Saccharomyces cerevisiae S288C: one gene and its partners. The gene in region 3 interacts genetically with the main gene of each other region. Each region holds a gene or a part of one and is shown on either strand. Other genes may lie near its edges. The genes, in order: MSO1, ADY4, SPO21 and POG1.

The links.
Region 1: mutations in SPO21 (region 3) and MSO1 together harm fitness more than expected from each alone (negative genetic interaction), as found in Saccharomyces cerevisiae (one large-scale study listed by BioGRID).
Region 2: mutations in SPO21 (region 3) and ADY4 together harm fitness more than expected from each alone (negative genetic interaction), as found in Saccharomyces cerevisiae (one large-scale study listed by BioGRID).
Region 4: mutations in SPO21 (region 3) and POG1 together harm fitness more than expected from each alone (negative genetic interaction), as found in Saccharomyces cerevisiae (one large-scale study listed by BioGRID).

What each region holds. Positions count from the first base shown.
Region 1 is NC_001146.8:711,705-715,956, forward strand, and holds MSO1 (Mso1p), read right to left. Parts: upstream 1,952-4,252; coding exon 1,319-1,951; downstream 1-1,318. Other genes in the region: YNR048W (putative aminophospholipid translocase regulatory protein), read left to right, coding at 1-1,107; LYS9 (saccharopine dehydrogenase (NADP+, L-glutamate-forming)), read right to left, coding at 2,344-3,684. UniProt on the Saccharomyces cerevisiae protein: Involved in secretion. Component of the secretory vesicle docking complex.
Region 2 is NC_001144.5:588,829-595,751, reverse strand, and holds ADY4 (Ady4p), read left to right. Parts: upstream 1-3,708; coding exon 3,709-5,190; downstream 5,191-6,923. Other genes in the region: YLR227W-A (gag protein), read right to left, coding at 992-2,314; BUR2 (Bur2p), read right to left, coding at 5,211-6,398; YLR225C (uncharacterized protein), read left to right, coding at 6,834-6,923. UniProt on the Saccharomyces cerevisiae protein: Involved in the pathway that organizes the shaping and sizing of the prospore membrane (PSM) during sporulation. May be required to stabilize the outer plaque of the spindle pole body (SPB).
Region 3 is NC_001147.6:143,024-147,663, reverse strand, and holds SPO21 (Spo21p), read right to left. Parts: upstream 2,331-4,640; coding exon 501-2,330; downstream 1-500. Other genes in the region: mismatch repair ATPase MSH2, read right to left, coding at 1-282; YPQ1 (cationic amino acid transporter), read right to left, coding at 2,534-3,460; TRM10 (tRNA (guanine(9)-N(1))-methyltransferase), read right to left, coding at 3,968-4,640. UniProt on the Saccharomyces cerevisiae protein: Involved in the pathway that organizes the shaping and sizing of the prospore membrane (PSM) during sporulation.
Region 4 is NC_001141.2:126,983-133,328, forward strand, and holds POG1 (Pog1p), read left to right. Parts: upstream 1-3,627; coding exon 3,628-4,683; downstream 4,684-6,346. Other genes in the region: AYR1 (acylglycerone-phosphate reductase), read left to right, coding at 1-115; putative glucosidase SIM1, read left to right, coding at 1,169-2,599; QDR2 (cation transporter), read left to right, coding at 5,262-6,346. UniProt on the Saccharomyces cerevisiae protein: Transcriptional activator which promotes cell cycle recovery with CLN2, after pheromone induced G1 arrest, probably inhibiting the ability of STE20 to activate the pheromone response pathway.

The DNA of each region.
Region 1 (4,252 bases), on a different chromosome or scaffold from region 3:
GCAAACACATCGTTTAGACAACAGCGCCTCAAAGCCTGGCAGCCCATCTTGTCGCCACAGAGCGTACTGCCGTTGCTTATTTTGATGGCATGCGTCTTCGCACCCATTGGTATAGGGCTGGTGGTCAGCACGATAAGTGTCCAAAGACTAGTGGTAAACTACACAGAATGTGATGCATTGGCACCGGCGAAGCATTTTGAAACGATTCCCTCCGAGTACGTGGACTACCACTTCAGTAAGAAAGTCGCAGTCCAACCTCAATGGATGGTACTTACGGATCCTGAATTAGGCAATCAAACTTGTCGAATACAGTTCGAAGTTCCAAATCATATCAAGAAATCTACTTATGTTTATTACCGCCTAACAAATTTCAATCAAAACTATAGAGAATATGTGCAATCTCTTGACCTAGACCAATTAAAAGGAAAAGCATTGATCGGAAATGATCTGGATCCAAACTGTGACCCTTTAAGGACGGTAGAAAATAAGACCATATTCCCCTGTGGATTGATAGCAAATTCGATGTTCAATGATACATTCGGCACAACACTTACTGGTGTAAACGATACTGCAGATTATTTGCTTACCACAAAAGGTATTGCGTGGGACACCGACAGCCACAGATATGGAAAGACCGAATACAATGCATCCGATATCGTACCGCCCCCAAATTGGGCCAAGTTATTTCCCAATGGCTACACTGACGATAACATTCCAGACCTACAAAACTGGGAACAGTTCAAAATATGGATGAGAACTGCTGCATTGCCCAACTTCTATAAGCTAGCAATGAAAAATGAGACCAATGGGTTAGGTAAGGGTATTTACATTGCTGATATAGAACTCAACTACCCAGTAAGATCTTTCTATGGAACAAAATCTTTTGTATTAACCACAAACAGTATTATCGGTGCTGGAAACGAGGCATTAGGGATTGTTTATTTGATTGTTGCCGGGATTGCAACTCTTTTCGCCATACTATTCCTGATAAAAGTCATCTTCAAACCAAGACCTATGCATGATCATAGCTACCTAAATTTTGAGAACAGCGATACCCCATTCGATGAGAGTAGTGTCGTTAGTATTCCATTGAGAGAAATTTTATGATTGATTATCATTTACTATAAAATCCCTGCGTTTGATTCGGTCTCTAGGGAAGCGTTGTAATTTCATGTATATTCAAAATAAGGACGAGGTTATATACCATACTATATTATCTCCTTGCATTCTGTATCAAACACTTTATTCAGTACATATACGATACCTATATATTCATTAAATGTTCTTTTCGCTTTATTTCAGCAAGGTATAGTGCTATTTAAAATCCATAATCGTTATTGCGTCTCTTTAGTCTGTCCTTCATTGCCATTACTCCACTACTTGCGTCTGGTGGCGGCGTTGGCGTGCTGGAGGTGTTGAAACTGTTCGACGTTTTACTTCGACCGAGACTTGCCCTGAATTCTTGGCCTGCTGAAGGTCTAGTCGGCCGTGATGAAGCTCTTCTCGGTGTCGCGCTAGAGGAGCTTGTATGATTATTGTATATATCTTGAAACGATTTACTCGCAGGCGTGTACTCCGGTGTGTTCCCGTTTGAAGAAGGTGTACCCATAGGATCTTCTGAAGAAGCCTTCCTTCTGTTAGAAAAGGATGGCGAGAAATGACGCGAGTTTTGCTTCTTCATATCATGCTTCACTTGAGTATCTAATATTTTACGTTCGTTCGGTAAATCTTCCTTCTCCCCCAACCATCCTGGGAACCCCTGGAAAGGATGCTGATTTTCATAGAATTTCACAAGCCCTTTATGGACCAATGTAGTATTTACAGTATCACCATCTTTTTCTGCTTTAATGGATAAATGTGCCAACGATGTAGATAACGATTTGGTTGACGACTTAAACTTGTTCCAAAATCGCCCGGATCCTTCTTGGGAATGCGATACTTGACTCATCATATGCGTGAAATCTTAGTTATACTGGTAGTTGGTATTAGGGCCTAGCGTCTAATAGTTAGTTGGCGTTTTATTTTTTTGCACCTTTCCTAATAGTATTAATCTCTAAAAGTGAAAAACTCCTAAGAGTCTTTACGAGCTCATTTAATACGTTCTGATCAGAAGCAAGACTATAAAATGCAATAGCCAATACTTTTTAGACTAAAGGTAGACGACTTACTAGCGGTTCAAGCTTCAGGAACTACACTCTCAATTACGTTCTAGTCCATTTTGTCCCTCTTTCCGGTTTTTTTTTTTTTACGTTTCCTTATGAAAGTATAAGTAATACTAAAGAAAGATTTATAAAGTGCCGTTACTGTTACGTATGATAAACCTTTTGATACATTTCTTCTTATTTAAGCCACTGTCTTTTCCTTTAGATAGATGCCGTACTTGTCCTTTAGTTCTTTCATGATTGGATCATTAATCTCTGGTGAGTATGGCGCTAGTAAGCCTGGTCCCTTGATTGTACCATCTAAGACGAATTTCGTTGCAATGGCAACTGGATAACCAACAGTAGCGGCCATAGAACTGTAACCACCAACCTTACCATAGTCAACTAAAGTGGATGTTCTTGTTTCGGTAGTTCCATCAGCCCATTCAATACCGAATTTGTGTTGTAGTACAACCATATCTCTTTCATTGTCTTCATATTGCATTAGTTCTTCTAAACGTGCACATAGAGTGTCTAAAGCATTACCTCTTGGTGTGATCTTTGCGTCAGAGAACAAGCCTAACCAAGCAAACCCGGAAAGGATTCTTTCTCTATCTTCATCATCTTTCCAAGTAGCCTTTGAGTCAATGGAAGCAATCAAATCTTCTTTAGAAGTAGACTTGGCACCTAAATATTGTTTTAGTGCTTCGTTCCAGGCAATTGGCTTGCTGAAGATTTCGTTAGCATCATCCTTCAACATACCCATGTCAACTAAAGCCTTAACAAATTCTGGGAAACCTTGATATCTCAAAGTACCTCTAATGACCGTTTCGGCTTCTGGAATATGATAAAGATCCTTGAAAAGGGTAGAGTCTCTATTTGGGTAGCAAACGAATGCATAACCTGGGTAGATGAAGTAAGGCTTAGCAGTGGCCATTAAGTCTTCGGAAGAAACAGTTTCAATCTTTCCGTCTTTCCAGTATTTAGCAGAGTTTCTTAAAGCCAGTAGCACACCTCTGGAGGACCATGAAAATTTGTATCCTAATGGATTATCAGAGTCTTCAGGAGCTGGTAAACCACCACAGTATGACAAGAATGACTTTAGCTTACCACCAGCTCTGTGAACTTCATCAATAGTCTTGACCGCATACAAGTGGTCGATACCTGGATCCAACCCAATTTCGTTCATAACTGTAATACCTGCCTTTACGATTTCTGGTTCCAATTCTCTTAAGGCAGGTGAGATGTAAGAGGAAGTGACGACATCGGTCTTTGTTCTGATGGCGCTCTTTACCACATTTGGATGGAAGGTGTATGGAATCAAAGAGATGACAACATCGTTATCAGCCAGAACTTTGTCTAAGGCACTGTCATCGGTAACATCCAATGAAATAGCCTTGGATCCAGAGGGCTTGGCCAATGCTTGCGCATTGGCTAATGTTCTACATGCGACAGTGACATTGATGTCATCATTAGCAGCCAATGTGTCGATAACAGGTTGTGCAACAAAACCAGATCCTAGCAACAAAACGTTCTTTCCCATATTAAAATATATAATACGTTAATATAACTCAATTGTCCTGATAAGTTTTCCCTACTGCCTAAGGATCCTTCCCATGTAATTTTACCAGGACCCTACGGTTTATATACCATTAAGCCAAATTCTGTGCTACTTTCTATCATCTATTGCTGATAATTCCATTGGAAATTCTCAATACCCTTTATTGACATCTTTATTTTTCACTACAAAGCGAATTTTTCCAACGGAATTTCGATTCCAGAGTATGAGTAATTCTTTTCACTACTAAACGCATTGCTTCGTGGTCAGTAGTAACCGCAATCACACTCTTCACTTCTGTTGTGGTGAATATCAAAAGAAACAAGAGATCATCCACAATTTCCTCAGCTTGACTTGTCTGCAGTTGCGATTAAAATTTGACTTTTGCTCCACCGCTCTCTACAGGTATTATATTTGGAAATCATCAAATGATGGGAATCCCCTACGTGGCACTTAGATACGATACATAAGACTCTTGCATATGTAGCTACCAACGTGGGAAAACCTTTCAAGTAACAGTTTGTTTGCTCTTAGCAACTTCTAGCCCTAATGA
Region 2 (6,923 bases), on a different chromosome or scaffold from region 3:
AGCGACTCCATGTGCTCGGGAATCCGCTGTGGTTGTATAGCATGGAGTTATACCATTTTTTTCAAGGAATTTATGGAGAGTTCTGTTAGTATACTCAGAACCACGGTCCATTTGTATAACCAAGACACTGGCCTGAAATTGGTTTTTAATGAAAGCTAGTATCGTGGTAAATACATCGAGGATAGAGTCCTCGCGACGGTCGTGCAATGGATAAACCCAACGGAATTTTGTTGTCTCATCAGTAAATGAGATGAAATAGGATGGTGCACTTTTTGGTAGGTTGTGAACTGGACCAAATATGTCAGTATGTAGGTATTGAAAGGGTTCGTATGAATTTTGGTATTTTAGTCGTGAACCTTTGATATGTCTGTGTTTGGTGCTTTTGCCGATTAAACAATCAGGACATTGATAGTCAATAGCACTAGACCAGTCGACATCTGATTCGTTAAAATACGTGATGGTGTTATTTTTAAGTGAGTATCGAATTGTCTGTGCATTGGCATGCGCAAGCATTCGATGAATGAAAGGATAAGGATATTTGCGTGTACTTTCACTTGTATGGACATTATTGATGGTGGGTACGGAGATATTTGATGGAAGCAAGTACCTTTTAGATACCCAGTAAAAGTCTCCATATTGTACGATAGGTGCAAGTACAGTGCCGTCAGATCGTTCTAAGACGTTTTTGGTAAAGCATGCTGTGATATCTACTGCAGCCAATTCATTCAAACTGAGTAAGTCATAGGCTATGTTAGGAGTGTGCAATACCTTTATTGATGTTTTGGTGTTGTCCTGGAAGTGAAATTGTAGGTCACCAATAGCGTTAATTGGTATATTTCTTTTTTGAGCATCAACTACGTTTATGTCAGGATTAGATGATGCTGAGTGTATGTGATGAGCAGATCTTATAAGGGTTCGTGATGCTCCTGAATCGAGAAGGAGGTGTCCAGGGAGTTCATCATCAGAATGATTAGTGTGATTTACCGTAGATTCAGTAAGTTCCTGGCCTAAGGTGAAGGTCGTGCTTATTGTTCAATTGAATCGGTTCAGTAGTTGATTTACTGATGGAATCGTTGTCCGTGCTGGGAGAGTTATTAGATGTGGATACATTGTGAGCCCTGGCTGTTTTCGATTTCGAATTATTTGTTTTTTGAGGATTCCGAGCTATAACTTTGGGTTTGGTTGTATTCGTATAGCTGCGAGAATCATTCTTCTCATCACTCAGATTTCTCCTGTAATTAGGTTTGCTGTTTCTCGATCCCTGTTGTTCTTCATAAATAGCATGGATATCTAAGAACAGTTCAGCGACTGTCATATTTAGATGTCGATGACGTGTGTAGCGTAAAAATTTATATTCGCCAGATAGACCTCTCATAATTAATTGGCATGCGACCTTGTTATTGATATGAATGCCATTATTGTTCAGTCTGTCGATAATGTTTGTGACTTTTGTTTCAAATGCATCTGCAGGTGTACTGCCATTATATTGCAAATTTGCCAGGGTCACAATGTCGTTTGCCTCTTGGGTATCAGATTGCATTTTTTCAATACTTTTGGAAAGAATTTTCATGATATCCGTATAATCAACGGATAGGATGTCTTTGACCCAGGTAGGTAGGAATTGAGAGGGAGCAAATATTTGAAAAGTGTTATACAAGAAGGTGAGTTCATCATCAGTGATCTGACGTACGGGTTTTCCGTTTACTGTCGGAATAATACCACCGAGATTCGAGTTTTGTAAAAATTTGATGTATGTTTTAACCCAATTTGGAAAGTCATTAGGTGAGGTTAACATTGGTGGTGGTCTGACATATTTTTTAGTGGATGTCATATCAGAGTCCGCTGAGGATGAATCAGTAAATGTATTACCTGACTCAGGTGATGGAGTGCTCAGAGGCGTTCCAACTGATGATGGATACTGCGGAAACTGTGATTGTGGCCCAGGTGGAAAGTACATAGGCGACATTTGATAAGGTGTATACGGAATCATAGATGGGTGTCCGTAAAATGACCAACCAGATGGATTGGCTTGGTTTTGGGTCATCATGCACTGCTGTGGGTACGGCCCATTCTGTGGAGGTGGTACTGAAGCAGGTTGAGGAGAGGCATGATGGGGGTTCTCTGGAACAGCTGATGAAGCAGGTGTTGTTGTCTGTTGAGAGTTAGCCTTAGTGGAAGCCTTCTCACATTCTTCTGTTTTGGAAGCTGAAACGTCTAACGGATCTTGATTTGTGTGGACTTCCTTAGAAGTAACCGAAGCACAGGCGCTACCATGAGAAATATGTGAATGTTGAGATAATTGTTGGGATTCCATTGTTGATAAAGGCTATAATATTAGGTATACAGAATATACTAGAAGTTCTCCTCAAGGATTTAGGAATCCATAAAAGGGAATCTGCAATTCTACACAATTCTATAAATATTATTATCATCATTTTATATGTTTATATTCATTGATCCTATTACATTATCAATCCTTGCGTTTCAGCTTCCACTAATTTAGATGACTATTTCTCATCATTTGCGTCATCTTCTAACACCGTATATGATAATATACTAGTAATGTAAATACTAGTTAGTAGATGATAGTTGATTTCTATTCCAACATATTCCAACAAAAATGATATCGATCCCAAAGAGCTCCTAAGCTAGGGAAATCGCGGAGATATATGCATTTCCCAAATAATTTATGCTTTCCCACATTTGCTAACTTAATTGTTGGAATAAAAATCAACTATCGTCATTAACTAGTAGTCTTACTACGCGTATATTATCATATACGGGTAGTTAGATGATGACATAAGGTATGAGAAGATGCAACCGAAGTTAAAGGAAGCTGAAATGGAAGGATTGATAATGTAATAAGATAATGAAAAATATAAAACGGAAGGAGAAATAATCGTAATATTATTGTGTAGAAATATCGATTCCATTTGAGAGTTTCTATATCCTCGAGGAGAACTTCTAGTTTATTCTTATACATAATATTATAGCCTTAATCAACAATGGAATCCCAACAATTATGTCAAACTTTACCAATTTCTCATTAATAAGTAATCAGCCAAGAAAAAGACTTTAGAAATAAATGGCTAACCCAATGGCTTGTATAATCCATCGTTTTCAACATACAATGGGAGTTTGGCCGAGTGGTTTAAGGCGTCAGATTTAGGTGGGTTTAACCTCTAAAATCTCTGATATCTTCGGATGCAAGGGTTCGAATCCCTTAGCTCTCATTATTTTTTGTTTTTTGCCATCTTTACTTTTTCCTATAAATTACTAGATCGTATCATTTTAGCACAGTTGTTTCACTCCAGTTCATAATTAATGTAGCCATTTCTCTAAAAGTTGGCAAAGCTTCCTTTACGTTCGTAAGTAGGGAAAGAATTATGACGTGTTACCAGACCCTGTCTGCCGGGTGATTTTGGGGCCACAAAACTGGTATAGCAGCGAATTCGCATATGAAATGCAGTAGCTGAACCTGTCCATTGCCACAAAAGTTCTATTTACTAAATTTGAATGAAGTGCCCCGGCACTATAGAGAATTTTTCTGTCAAATTTTTATTGGGCGTAAAGGTTTGCGCTGTCACAGAGAAGACGATTTACCCATGATTATGTTACTACTCATCTCCAACAGGAGGAAATACAAACAAAATTGTACATATATGCCCTATTTATTGATCATAGTCACAAATTGTCGGCTCACGTATAATGAATAAAGACGTCGACTATCAAACTTTTAAAAAAAGTTTAAGAAAAGAATTTAAAAAAGCTGTGAAGACTATCCTAAATTTACAAGCATATAATGGTGATTTGATAAGGGACTTTTTGGCTCTTTATATTCCGTACCATGTAGTTTTTTATAATCTTTCGATCATGAAAAAAGGTTCACCATTAAGGATTCAAACCAATAACCTTCTGAAAGAAGCGCTGGCCAAAATTTTAAACTTTAATCTTGCGATGGGTCCAAAACATATCATCAAGATAATGAAGAAAGATAAAGCCGATCCAGAGACAATGAATAAATTAAAACTGGTACTATATATAAAATTATTTCAAGGAGTATTTGGTCATGTAGATAAAAATTATAACCTCGCATTTCAATCTTTTCGCTGGTGCTTACAATTCATTGCGTACTCAAAAAGGACAAGACTATTTGCAAGTATCGCAGACGAGCAAATTGGAGCTTTTTATGAACTTTGCGAACTATTTATATCCATGTTGTGTTGCCACTGTTTTCTAATTGATTTGAAAGAAAATGAAGCATTGGTAGGCAATAATCTAAAAAATTTTATCAAAAGACAAAACCCTAATTATTCCCATGGCTTCGATTTAAATGAGGAGACCAAGTCACTTCAATGGCACTGGTCACTCGACGAGGTAGATGTTATTGAGGCGTTATACTGCGTCGCTTTCGATGCGATGGATAAGATAACGCTTAAATTTTCAAAGGTCAATGAAAATTTTGTTTTTAGTCAGTTTTTTCAGTATTGTGCAGAAATCGAAGAAATGTTAGCCATTCTGAGAGGAAAAATTTGGGAGTGTGAATGTGATGTGTTCGGTCCCAGAATCGGACTATTAGTAGATAGTAACCACATGAATGAAACAATTCAAAAAAATATTCTGTCAATAACTTTCAAACTTAAAAATGACCCTCAGATTATATGCTGCTTGAATAAAATTCTGGAAGGCTTATTACTTTCATCAGGTGTTCAATTTAAAGTTATCCAGTTTTTTTATGTATTAAAACTATACTATATGCAAGATAATGAATACACATTCGAAGCATCATCTGAAATGGATAAATTGACCATAGAATGCTTATGTATCATCGAAAATATTATTGATGCTTGTGACAATCCTGATGAAGTAACTGACTACCAACTACCTAAGGTACTGTTGACTGCTATGGAGGGGAAATTACTTGTTGCTGAAAAAATATCCGAAGATAATGACTGTTCAGAATCTCTGGACGATTATCATCCCCGAACTTACCAATTCAGACATCCCAGAATAATAATAGACAAGATGAAAACAAAATTGAAGCAGAAACTGCGCTTTGACTCACCTAAAGATCCAGAAACAGATGATCATTGGATTGAGTATTGGAAATATTGCTATCAGGATAACATAGGGAACTTGCCGGACATTTTGTCACGTATATATCAAACCTTTACTGATCCCTCCAATTAAACATAACTTGTACTCTATTTTTATATTTTAGGTTTTTTGGCATCTGGGGTTCTTATAGGATCTTTAGCCTTTCTCTTCATACTTTCTTGTTTAGCCTTATCTAGTAAATCTTTAACCCTTGTTTCAATATGATTCAAAAACTCTTCCTTCACCTCACCGGATTTAATCAACTCGTAGTTAAACGGATCAGAGATTTCTGAAACTTCATTTTCCACATCGCCACTTTCGTCAATCACCGAATCAATCATGCTTGAATCAATTTGTAATTTAGCACCTTTATTACTTTTTAAGTTGAAAAAATTCTCTTCCAGTAACTTGTAATCGGTAAAGATATTGGCAAAATTTTCCGGCGTTACTTCGATAGGGAATCTATCCTTGAAGAAGTTTTTCGGATATCTGAAATCTTTGTCTACAAGCTTTTTATACTCTAAACCACAGTATATGAGAGATAGTACAATGAACGTATAACCGTCGCACAATAAAGAAACTGGCTGGGTGACAGCTTGGACCATAAAATTTCTTGATTCTTGAAGAATTTTTGGAAAAGCTTTTTTAAAGTTTTCTGGCAGATTGTGATCCCTGTTGAATCTATAATAGCCACTGAACACTTCTTCAATCAATTCTTTTGGATTACTGATATTTAAGTCAAAGCCAAATAAACATAGTATTTTTTTTTCATTCGTCACTAACTTATCTCTAAATTCCCATTTAAGTTTATCAATATTTGTTCGACTTTTTAAAGACGGTATATTTTGCATCAAAAACTCACAAGTCGCCTTAATATAGGCCTCTATAGGCCTATTATTCTCCATTGTTTTGCAAGCGGTGACCAGAATTCCCTGTGATATATGAATACATTCAGTTATGGCTGTAGGTATTCCATATATGAACCAATACCTGTAAAATAGAATGCATGATGCCGTATAGGTGTGATCAAAAAGATTTAATTTTTTTTTAAGTGTGTAAAAGTACATTAAGCATTTTTCCATATTTTTTTTTATTTCCACTGCTATCGGTCCATTAGTGCCTATCTTTTCAATAATATCTTTGCACTCAAAAACCCACTGGTTTTCTGGTGTTTCTATCAAATCCGGCCATAGGGTCCTTGCGTTAAACCCACTCGATGCTGGTGGTGGTGATGCATTGCTCGTTGGTTTTGGTACAGCTTGAAATTTTTTCACGTCACCACTTGAAGATGTAGCAGACATTATCTTACTGTAATATATTTTAAACGAAAATACTACGGCCTCCTTCAATATGTGTATATAATTACCAATCAAAATAGCTACTTGCTTTCTAACAGAAATAGTGATACTTTTTAATCACTTTTCTTTTTTTACTGAACAGTGAAAAATAGAAGTCACAATGAGACCTAGGTCAAAAAGCCATAATGAATAGGGTTTGCAATAAAAAAGCTTTAAACGATAGGTCTGTTAAAGAGGATAAATAGGTTTATCATGTATCATTTGGTTTTTTGGGATAGGGCTTGGCAAAAACCATAACAGGGGAATGAGATTTTATATATAAATAGACAAGATAGATACTAAAATAGTGACGGATTCTCTCTAAATATTCGAGAAATTTTCAAAATTTTAGGGCAACGAACAGTTTAATTAACATAAAAATCATAGAGCAAAGAAAAAATGGCGGTTGCGATCAAAAAGGAGAAGACGAAATTTGCCCCCGTTAAGGAAGTTTTATCCGAGAAGGATCATGCTAATTATACTAAATTT
Region 3 (4,640 bases):
CAGAGTGGCAAGAACTTGTAGCGAAACAGTAACATATTTAGTTGGTTCATGGAAGTTCTTTGCCGTTACAGGGTCCAATTGGCAGTTCTTTAAAACAGATTGAGTATGATAGACTGAATCTGCCACAAATATCGCATCTGAACCTATAACTGTGTAATAGTCGCCTTTATCCACTAATCTAATGGTTTTTAATGGTTTCTTCGGCAACCCTGTATACTTCTTATAGAAGTTTCTCTCCTCTGATACATCAGAGAATTTTAGCTCTGGCCTAGTGGAGGACATACTTTTAATCTGAGGATTTTGATGTTAGGTCAGCAGATAAAGAGATTTTTTACAGTTGATATTGGAGTAGAGTGTCAACATTTAAAGAGCCTCTTTTTATTTTCAGTATATTATAAAAACGCCTAAAAAAAAAATGACAAGTTTTCGCGTTTTCTATTTTTTCATATATGTATATATAGAATATTAAGGATTATAAAAGAATGTGTAGCTGTTGAGGTTCACTTGATGGAGTGCGGAACTTGTCTTTGGCTTTGTTTATACGGAGTGCTGGAGTTCTGATTGGATTTTTGGTCAGTTTGCCTACTTTTCTTGTAATAATTAATAAAGCACTTGTAAATGACGTCTATAATTTTCTTCGTCACAAGTTCTTGATAGAAATAAAGTAACTTTTCCTCAAACTCTACACATTTTAATTCTAATCTTTTCGAGTACTCCGCTGGAGGCTCGTCAGAAGAAGACACATGGTTCGAAAGTGAATTATTCATGTTGAGTAGCTCCTTAATTAAGCTTTCAGTTTCAATAATAGTATCACTTGGCAGTAAGAACCGATAACATGTCAGAATATTAGATACAAGGAGTAGAGAATATGAACCATGACATTCAATCAACAGTATTTCCTTTTTCAACAAATTTCTCTCATTTCTCAAATCTAAAACTTTTTTCCTTTCATTTTTGAACGAATTTTGTAAATTCTTATTGGTATTTGATATATTTTCGATGTTTTTTTTGTATTTCAAACATATTTCTTTTAATTCATTGCATTCAAAAGTTAAGTTTTCTCCCAGGGCCTCTCTTTTTTTCGTAGAGGTATTCAATTCAGTGATGCTATCAGCTAATTTTGCATATTTTTCTTTAAATAAAGAGAACTTGAAGTTGGTAGCATTAACCTCATTTTGTAGTTCATTGACACTTTTCTTCAAAAACTCGTTTTGATCAATGATTAATTGCTGTTCTCTATTGACCCTATCTAAGGTTTCCCTAGTATATTTGTATTTTTTTAGTAATTCCTCATCGTGATTGTATGACTCATTGTCTAGTTCTTTGAAAGCCTCTTTTATTTTCTTATTTTCCAGAGAGACCTCCTTGTATTTAGTTTTGTAGGCCTTGTTTGTTGTTTCTAACTTCAAAATTTTGTCATTTTGACTTTTTAATTGCGCTTCTTTTTCTTTAAGTTTAGAGGCATAGTCTGTTATCTTTGTTCTTCTAGCGCTGGAATTCTTCTTCACTAGTTGATACATTTCTTGCATTAATTGAAAAACAGGAATATCACTGAAATCATCGTATTTATAACCAATTTCTTTAAAAATTGCTTTTATTACGTGTGAAACTTCACCATTTGGATCGAAATGCAAGTCTTCGTTTACAAATGGTGATGTCATCTGTTGCGAGTCGTATTGCTTTTGCATATCGCTCATTATAGCGGTTGCTTGCGTATCGACATTGTATTGGCTCATAATCGATGCGGTGTTAATGTTGGAGCTCCCTTTACTTTGAGGAATTTCTTTGTTATGCCTAAAGTGATTGTTATTCTGCAATAAAATATCATTTTCATTTCCTTTTATAGAGTTATAAGAAGATGATGATGAAGAAGAAGAGCACGTTGTCTGAGATGTTGTAGAAGAACGTGCTAACATGGCAACATTATTTTTTGATCTCTGACTTCCAGTTGAATCTAATTTTAATTCTTTCACACTATTCGAACGACTCAAGCCTGCAGATGGAAGGCTGTTACCACAGATAGAAGAGTAATCATTTTTATAACTGTTGCCATCGTCACTACTTTTCATTGAAACGAGGCTCTGGTTACTTTTCATGGAACCTATACTCCGGCTGCTTTTGGAAGCTGGAGATTTGGAAAGTTTAAAAAACTCTTTCATCCACTTTCTCTTCGAAATTTTACTGTTTTCCAGACCACTTGTGTCGCCGTCCTTATGTGTATCGGTATCTTGTTCATGATTTGAGATACAACTAGAGTCTTCAGAACTACGCGAGGTAACTGTCATTGTTGAAGTCCCTTCCATATTTGATGCCTTTAAAATATTATCCATACTGGTAGCAGAAAGCTTTAATAGATCTTTAATAGATCTTTAATATGCCTTTAGTAATCACGGGTTTTTTCCTATTTAAATGAAATTTTATAATACATTTAATTTTTCTTTTTGTGACATTAAAAAAATGTCAATGACAGAGAGAAAAAAAAAAAAAGTTTGTGAGGTCAAAAATATGTTAAATAAATATTAGATAGAACATGTTAATTCAGTATAAATTTTTTATTTCTTTTGTAAATGAAAAACTGGGAAAATATGACGAAATCCATGAATAAAGTACCTATGCTTCCAACCAACCAGGAAGCATTCATAATTAGATACTTCCAGTCTAAAGAAATGACAATCACAGAGAAAATAAATGTGGTATTACCCAAACAGGCGAACAAAAAGAATAGGAAACTGATACCTTCACAAGACTTTCTCTTAAAATTCAGTAATATCTGAGGAATTCTTGAACCCAGATACAAAAGGGCACTTAAGTAACCGAATATCTGAGCCATCCAATTGATCTGCAGTTCGGGAACAGGCAGTGATGGATCCTCCACGGGAGGAGGTTGCGTGTAGTTTACGCAGTAGGTTACATACCACGAGATGAAACCTACAAAAACTACACCACTAACAATAAATATGTCTTTTATCAAATTTCTTGAATTGACTTCACGGAGATTATCATCACCAGCGTTTCCGTCGGATGAAGGAGCAGCCATTTCTTCATCAATACGATTTGGCTGACCTTGGGAATTCAAAAGCGGTTGTTGTTCATTGAACACATCGTGCAGAACGTTTTCGTTTATTGGATTGGCAGGGGAGAGATGAATAGGGTCTACTGCTGGTTTTTCCTCATTATCGTACCATAGACATTGACCTAGTAAAATGATATCTGCCACCGTATAGTAAGCAGCAAGAATGATCATGGTAGACAAAAGATGTTGCATAACGGCACCCATAAGGTTAAAGACATCGCCGGCCAACCAAAGTACCACGAACAATAAAGACAGCCCATCAGACGACTTCCGGTAAAAGTTCTCGTAAATTTGAGGGACAAACACAATGATCCAGCAGGAGATGGAGATGGACCCAGATATCCCACTTAGAGTGGATCTATTCAATTCTAGCGGCACAAGTTGCATAATTGAGGTCGTCGAGCGATGTGGTAGCTTTTTTTTTGTATGGCATTCTTTCGTTAGCAGTACATATCATCGCGAAGACGATTAAAGTACGTAGTGAATAAAAAGACGATATGTGAAAAATTGCAATCCGGGTAAAAATAAAAGAGTCATTAAGAGCAAAAATGACCATATTAGAGAATTTACAGGTAAAACACATACAACATCAAAGCAAAATAAGCAAAGAGAAATAAGAAGTATCCTCCCACGGCCCTACATTAGATTTGGACCTCTCGGACACTAAGATTGGTGTTGTTAATATTAAAAAGGGAATGCCATTTAGATTTCGAGTGGAGCCAGTTTCGGCGGCTAATGTCCAAGTACTATGATAAGCATAAACACCCTTTGAAGAACTACTACCAGTTGCGCATGTTTAACCCGTATCTCTGACATCAATATACACCTATTGTAGCTACGGAGACTATTACTATTTTGCTATTCAGTTACTAATAATACTACAGTGATGGCTGCCTATGTGTCCTTTGGAGCTGGCGAAGAGCTTGCGGATTTTGCTTCCGCATCCAGCTTTCTGGGTGGTAAAACGCTTTCAAAGGCATTTTTCCAGTTATGGTCATCAAAGTATTTCAGCATGAGTTGCACGACGTGCGTTGTCGTCAACACTCTTCTGCCTTCGAGATTGATGTACTCGTCAATGGGCAATCTTCGCGTAGGAATGCCCATCTTTTGGGCCTTCTTCAGACACAATTCTTTATAACGATTCTTGTCTACAATGCCGCCAACAATGTATCGCATCCCGGGTTCCAGCTTCTCCAGCTTTTCCTCTGTATCGGCCGTTAAATACACTATTTTGTCCTTACTTATATGCTCATCTCCAAACATGATTTTGTCGTCTGGTAGGAATTTAAAATGGTTCCAGTTTTCATAATTGGTATTTTTCAGAGTAGTTTCAAACCTTTGCTTTAGTCTTTTGTCGAATGGGGCCACCTTTATTTCTGCAAAATGGTTCGCCCTTCTATTCGCGGAGTATGCCCTGGTGACCTGGTTAGACAAGCTTACTATTTCCTTGTCGTTCATTAACTCATCAAAAGAACAGTCAAGTATGATCTCTATCCCAGAATCAGTCTGATTCACATTGATACGAGGCTCTCTAATCAATTCCTGCGGGACCTCTTCTCCCCTGTCA
Region 4 (6,346 bases), on a different chromosome or scaffold from region 3:
TTTTGTCATGATATTTGTTCCTTACTGGCTATTGGAAAAAGGACTTTCCAAAAAATTTAAATTGGACAAAGTTAATAATGCTTTGAAGTCGAAACAGAAGAATAAGGACGATTAGTGTTTCACCATCGTCAATAGCTACCTATATTTATATACAAGATTCCGTATAGTTTGTACACCACGTCAGGACATCAATAGCTAATAATCGTTCTAATGCTAATGTTCAACTGCTCTTTAAGTATTGTTTACGTCTCGTCGTACCAGTATGCCAAATTCCTGTCACTTCACTCATTCTCTTTGCTCTTACCGTTTGAAACGCGCTGGGACGGAATTCGCTCATTTCGCATCGTGCTTTGTTGTTTTTTTTTTTTCAAAATTGCCATTGTTTATTTATAAACTACATGAAATTATTCTGTATTTATCTTCGCATTCCCTCTCTTACTTCAAAAGTGAGAACAGCATATTCAAATATATATATCTACTCAGTTGAATAAGACACTATAGCAAGACCATTTGAACTGAAAGAAACAGTTTCTTTGCTCCCCTCTCGAATTCCAACTATTTACAGTCCTTCCTTTATAAAAATTAACTAGCGAGCAAGAAAACATTTGTTTAGTGCTACCCAACTACTTACATTCCTTTAAAAACCACAATATTTAAGTTAACCTGAGCTTTATTTTTAGTAAGTTATTTACCACAATTTTTCTCATACACCTTTACAATCCGTATTGCCATGAATACCAAGGCTTGCTCAGCTTCTGCAGCAGTTCAACCCTTTCCAATACCGCCAATGCGTCCTCAAAACGTTAGTTTAGTCGTGCTCAACCGCTATTTTTGGTTTTATCTTCGTTTCTTTCTCCTGAACGACATTCGTCACGAAAATTGCGGCGGAAAATTTCCTGATGCGGACACTTTTTCCCGATCCGGACATGCCTTTTTTTGGCGTTTCGCGTCAGTCAATAGAAGTTTCAGATCTACATTAGGAAGAACCAGAAAATAGCCATTAATGCTTTCAGCATAGCACAGCATAGCAGCTGTGTATATCTTAAATAAGATGTAGACTGGTTTGCATTTGGAAAGGTTTTGTGTAAGAAAAGCAATACTTGAGGTAAAACAAGAGAAAAAAAAACACTTTACTAACTAATATCCAATCCTTTATTTTTTTGCAGAAATGAAATTCTCAACTGCCGTTACTACGTTGATTAGTTCTGGTGCCATCGTGTCTGCTTTACCACACGTGGATGTTCACCAAGAAGATGCCCACCAACATAAGAGGGCCGTTGCGTACAAATACGTTTACGAAACTGTTGTTGTCGATTCTGATGGCCACACTGTAACTCCTGCTGCTTCAGAAGTCGCTACTGCTGCTACCTCTGCTATCATTACAACATCTGTGTTGGCTCCAACCTCCTCCGCAGCCGCTGCGGATAGCTCCGCTTCCATTGCTGTTTCATCTGCTGCCTTAGCCAAGAATGAGAAAATCTCTGATGCCGCTGCATCTGCCACTGCCTCAACATCTCAAGGGGCATCCTCCTCCTCCTCCTCCTCCTCGGCAACTTCTACCCTAGAAAGCAGCTCTGTTTCTTCATCTAGTGAAGAAGCTGCTCCAACATCTACTGTCGTGTCAACTTCTTCCGCAACCCAATCTAGTGCTTCTTCTGCCACTAAATCTAGTACTTCTTCCACTTCACCATCTACTTCTACTTCTACTTCCACTTCTTCTACTTCCTCTTCCTCTTCCTCCTCCTCCTCCTCTTCTTCTTCTTCTTCTGGCAGTGGTAGTATCTACGGTGATTTGGCCGACTTTTCAGGCCCAAGTGAGAAATTCCAAGACGGCACTATTCCATGTGACAAATTCCCATCTGGTCAAGGTGTCATTTCTATTGACTGGATTGGCGAGGGTGGATGGTCCGGTGTGGAAAACACCGACACTTCCACTGGCGGTTCATGCAAGGAGGGGTCCTACTGTTCCTACTCCTGCCAACCAGGTATGTCTAAGACCCAATGGCCATCCGATCAACCATCTGACGGTAGATCTGTCGGGGGTTTGTTGTGTAAAAATGGTTATTTGTACCGTTCTAACACTGACGCGGATTACTTATGTGAATGGGGTGTCGAGGCTGCCTATGTTGTTTCTAAACTAAGCAAGGGTGTCGCCATTTGCAGAACCGACTACCCGGGCACTGAAAACATGGTTATCCCAACCTATGTTGAAGGGGGTAGCTCTTTGCCATTGACCGTTGTTGACCAAGATACTTACTTTACTTGGGAAGGCAAAAAGACATCTGCTCAATACTACGTTAATAACGCCGGCGTCTCAGTTGAAGATGGGTGTATCTGGGGTACTTCTGGATCTGGTATTGGTAACTGGGCACCATTAAACTTTGGTGCTGGCTCCACTGGTGGAGTGACATACTTATCATTGATTCCTAACCCAAACAACAGCGACGCATTGAACTACAACGTCAAGATAGTTGCTGCTGATGATTCATCCAATGTCATCGGTGAATGTGTTTACGAAAATGGTGAGTTCTCTGGCGGTGCTGACGGGTGTACCGTCTCTGTTACTTCCGGTAAAGCTCATTTCGTCTTATACAATTAAGCTACGTGACTACTACTTTTCCTTTTTTTTTTCTTTTTTCGAACACATCTCACCCCCTATACCTCACACAATCACTATGGTCCCCTTTTCTTTTTACCGATATTTATACTGTCCACCTTTTTCTTTTCGTTAATGGCCTCAATGTTTCTGTACCATTATCCAAGTGAACTTGTTAGACGACCAAATATAGCCAAGATTCATTACGATTATCTTTAACTAGCAAGTAGTATTCTTGGATAGAGAGATTTTCAAAGACGGAACAATTTTAAATAGATTTACATAAGAAAACACATACTGTCCGATACCCATAAGAAATTTAAGAACTCTTTTCATCTTCAGCTTTCCGGCCTCCTTTTACTGTAGCCTGTTCCTAGACAGCTAAAAATAGTACATATGCAGCTCTGCAATAGTCTCAAAGGGGATATTGTGTAGGTTTACGAAATCATCACATTTCCGAATCAGGACATGAAGGCACAACTTTCCGCACGTAGTGTTTTCAGCCCCCAGCGCCTGTCGGCGCGAAGAGGATCTGCGGAGATGAGCTTTGCCCCGCCATTACCCGTAAAATATTACTGTTTTGGGCAATTGTGGATCAAAAAGGGAAAATGCGGATGGTGAAAAAAATTTTTGGAAATTTACTGCTTCAGATGGGGGAACTTTGTAAGTTCTTCCTTTTTTTTCGTAGAGGTTGGAAAATTCAGAGTGCTAAGAAATTAAAAGGTATGCACTGCCTATTCTCATAAAAGCAAAAGTGCACAAAAATAATAAGGTGTGAAGCAATAGTAGAAAAGACACTGGGAACCCAAGGTATCTTATTTTAACAGATAAGTAAAACTAAGATCAAATCGCGTACTGATATCACTTAAGGTTCGCGTATTTTAAAGGCTACGCAGAAGAGGAAATAAATTGCGTGCAATCCCTGCGCTTAACTCATACAAAAAGGCGCAAAACATTTCAAGAGTCCCACGATTAATTGCAGAAATTGAAAAAAAATAAGTAAAGACGAAAATCAAAGTGGATGCCATATTATGAAGCAGGAGCCACATAGACAATCCGAAGAAAAAGAGAAGCCGAAAGGACCAATGGCTGTTGAACGAGAGCAGCATACCTCATTATCTTCTGGTACAACCGTGACAGCTAGTACAGGAGACGAGAGTACCAACAGTAGACCAGTGGAATCATCGCAAACAGAAAAGTCTCTATCGCTTCGAATAAGAATATTAAAACAACTTGGGTTTGACGATATTCAAGAACTAAATGCATGCGACACTGGCCTAGTGGAGCAATTTTTAAACGTACGATTGATAAACGACACAAAAGAACTAGAAAAGATACGCGAGTCAAATCTTGCGAAACTAAACCAGATTATTGATAAATGTATGGAAAGTGATAAAATAAGTGATTCGACATTAAACAAGATTCTTGATATGTCCATGAATAGAGATACAAATAATGATAACAACAATCATCTTACGATACCGTCTCCGATAACGACAAAGAAACGCAAGATAAACGCCTCCGAACTTGCAAGTCCACGAGGCCATAGAAGATATAGATCTGATATACCTACAGTGTCAGAAGTTGAGACAGGGGTCGGATACCCTCAAATACACCAGCAACCAGGCGCATATACTTTACCTATGCCTGCAAATCAGTGGATGAGCAACCCGTATATGCAACCTCCGCAACCACAAGTGCAACAGATAATGCCGCAGTATTTATATCCACCAGGGATGGGACCACAAGCTCAGCTTCCTACAATGAGCTCAAACTCGGAGTCCCAGACACCAGTGATGAGCTCACAGTTTCTTTCCTTGAACCAGCATGGCCTTTACCAACAAAATATAGGTGCTCATCCGGTAATGAGTATGGGCCCACAGGCAAATATATACGGGCAGCAGCACCAGCTGCAACCTGGTCAGGAACGAGACCAGTCAAGAAAAAGTTTTAGTCATAGAAGGTCACAAAGTGCCAATATTTCCATGGCAAATTTTAGGTCGCCCATGCGAAATCCCCAGCCGGCTTCGTCCCAAAGGCCCGTCAATTTTCTCATTCATACACCAAAACATCCTCCTCCCACATGACGTGCAGTAATTTTCATTTTTATCACCTAATTTCTAAAACTATATCCCTTCCTAACCTTCATTCGATGCATCCGTCCACCTTACTTCAGTTCAAAAAAAAATATATATCCATATATATGCTACAGTGTTATTATTACGATTTCTTTGCCTTTACTCCTTATCTCATTTCAATCATGAATAAACAGGATATTGATAATATATGCTGTCATTTTGGATTCAGTCTGCTTAACTGTCTTGTCCACCCCCGGTGTTCTTACCCGTCTGAGCGGTCGTAAGACGGAGGTAATAATTTTTCAGCATCCTGACCTCCCCCCCAAATCTGTGCCTTTCACCACATTTTTCTCGAGAAAATGTGTCTTGGCTCAGATGATGTCGTATGAGCTACTGGACTTTTTTTTGTTGGCCCTGATGAAAATAGTAATGGCGGTTACAGAACAGATAAACGGCGTCACCATCTTTTCCTAGATAAAGAAGCAATCTCTAGATAATGGGGTATATAAATATACATTGTAAAAACGGCAAGTCAGTTGCTGGTCATTTTAGTAGAAACTCTGCTCTCAAACTTGAGTACTGCAACGATGGCAGGAGCAACATCAAGTATAATTCGGGAAAATGATTTTGAGGACGAGCTTGCGGAGAGTATGCAGTCATATAATAGAGAAACTGCAGACAAATTGGCTTTGACTAGGACCGAGAGTGTAAAGCCAGAACCGGAGATAACCGCTCCGCCTCACTCACGCTTTTCCCGTTCTTTCAAGACAGTTTTAATAGCTCAGTGCGCTTTCACTGGGTTTTTCTCCACAATAGCAGGTGCCATCTACTATCCAGTTCTGAGCGTTATAGAAAGAAAATTCGATATTGACGAGGAATTGGTGAATGTCACTGTTGTAGTATATTTTGTATTTCAGGGTCTTGCCCCCACATTCATGGGCGGGTTTGCCGATTCACTGGGCAGGAGACCGGTGGTGCTTGTCGCAATCGTCATTTATTTTGGTGCCTGCATCGGTCTTGCTTGTGCTCAAACGTATGCTCAGATCATTGTGCTAAGATGTCTACAAGCCGCCGGTATTTCACCCGTGATTGCGATTAACAGCGGAATAATGGGAGATGTTACTACTAGAGCCGAGCGCGGCGGGTACGTTGGATATGTTGCTGGATTTCAAGTTCTAGGTTCTGCGTTCGGAGCCCTTATCGGTGCCGGATTATCATCTAGATGGGGATGGAGAGCCATCTTTTGGTTCTTAGCAATTGGATCTGGCATTTGCTTCCTAGCCTCGTTTTTAATTTTGCCAGAAACAAAGAGGAACATATCCGGGAATGGTTCTGTCACCCCAAAATCATACTTAAATAGAGCTCCCATTCTTGTTTTGCCAACAGTAAGAAAATCATTGCATTTGGATAATCCAGATTACGAAACATTGGAACTGCCCACGCAACTAAATCTACTGGCGCCCTTCAAGATTTTGAAAGCTTATGAAATTTGTATACTTATGCTAGTCGCTGGATTACAATTTGCCATGTATACTACGCACCTTACGGCGTTATCCACAGCTTTGAGTAAACAATATCACTTGACTGTTGCAAAGGTAGGATTATGCTACCTTCCCTCCGGTATCTGCACATTATGTAGTATTGTCATTGCTGGAAGATATTTGAATTGGAA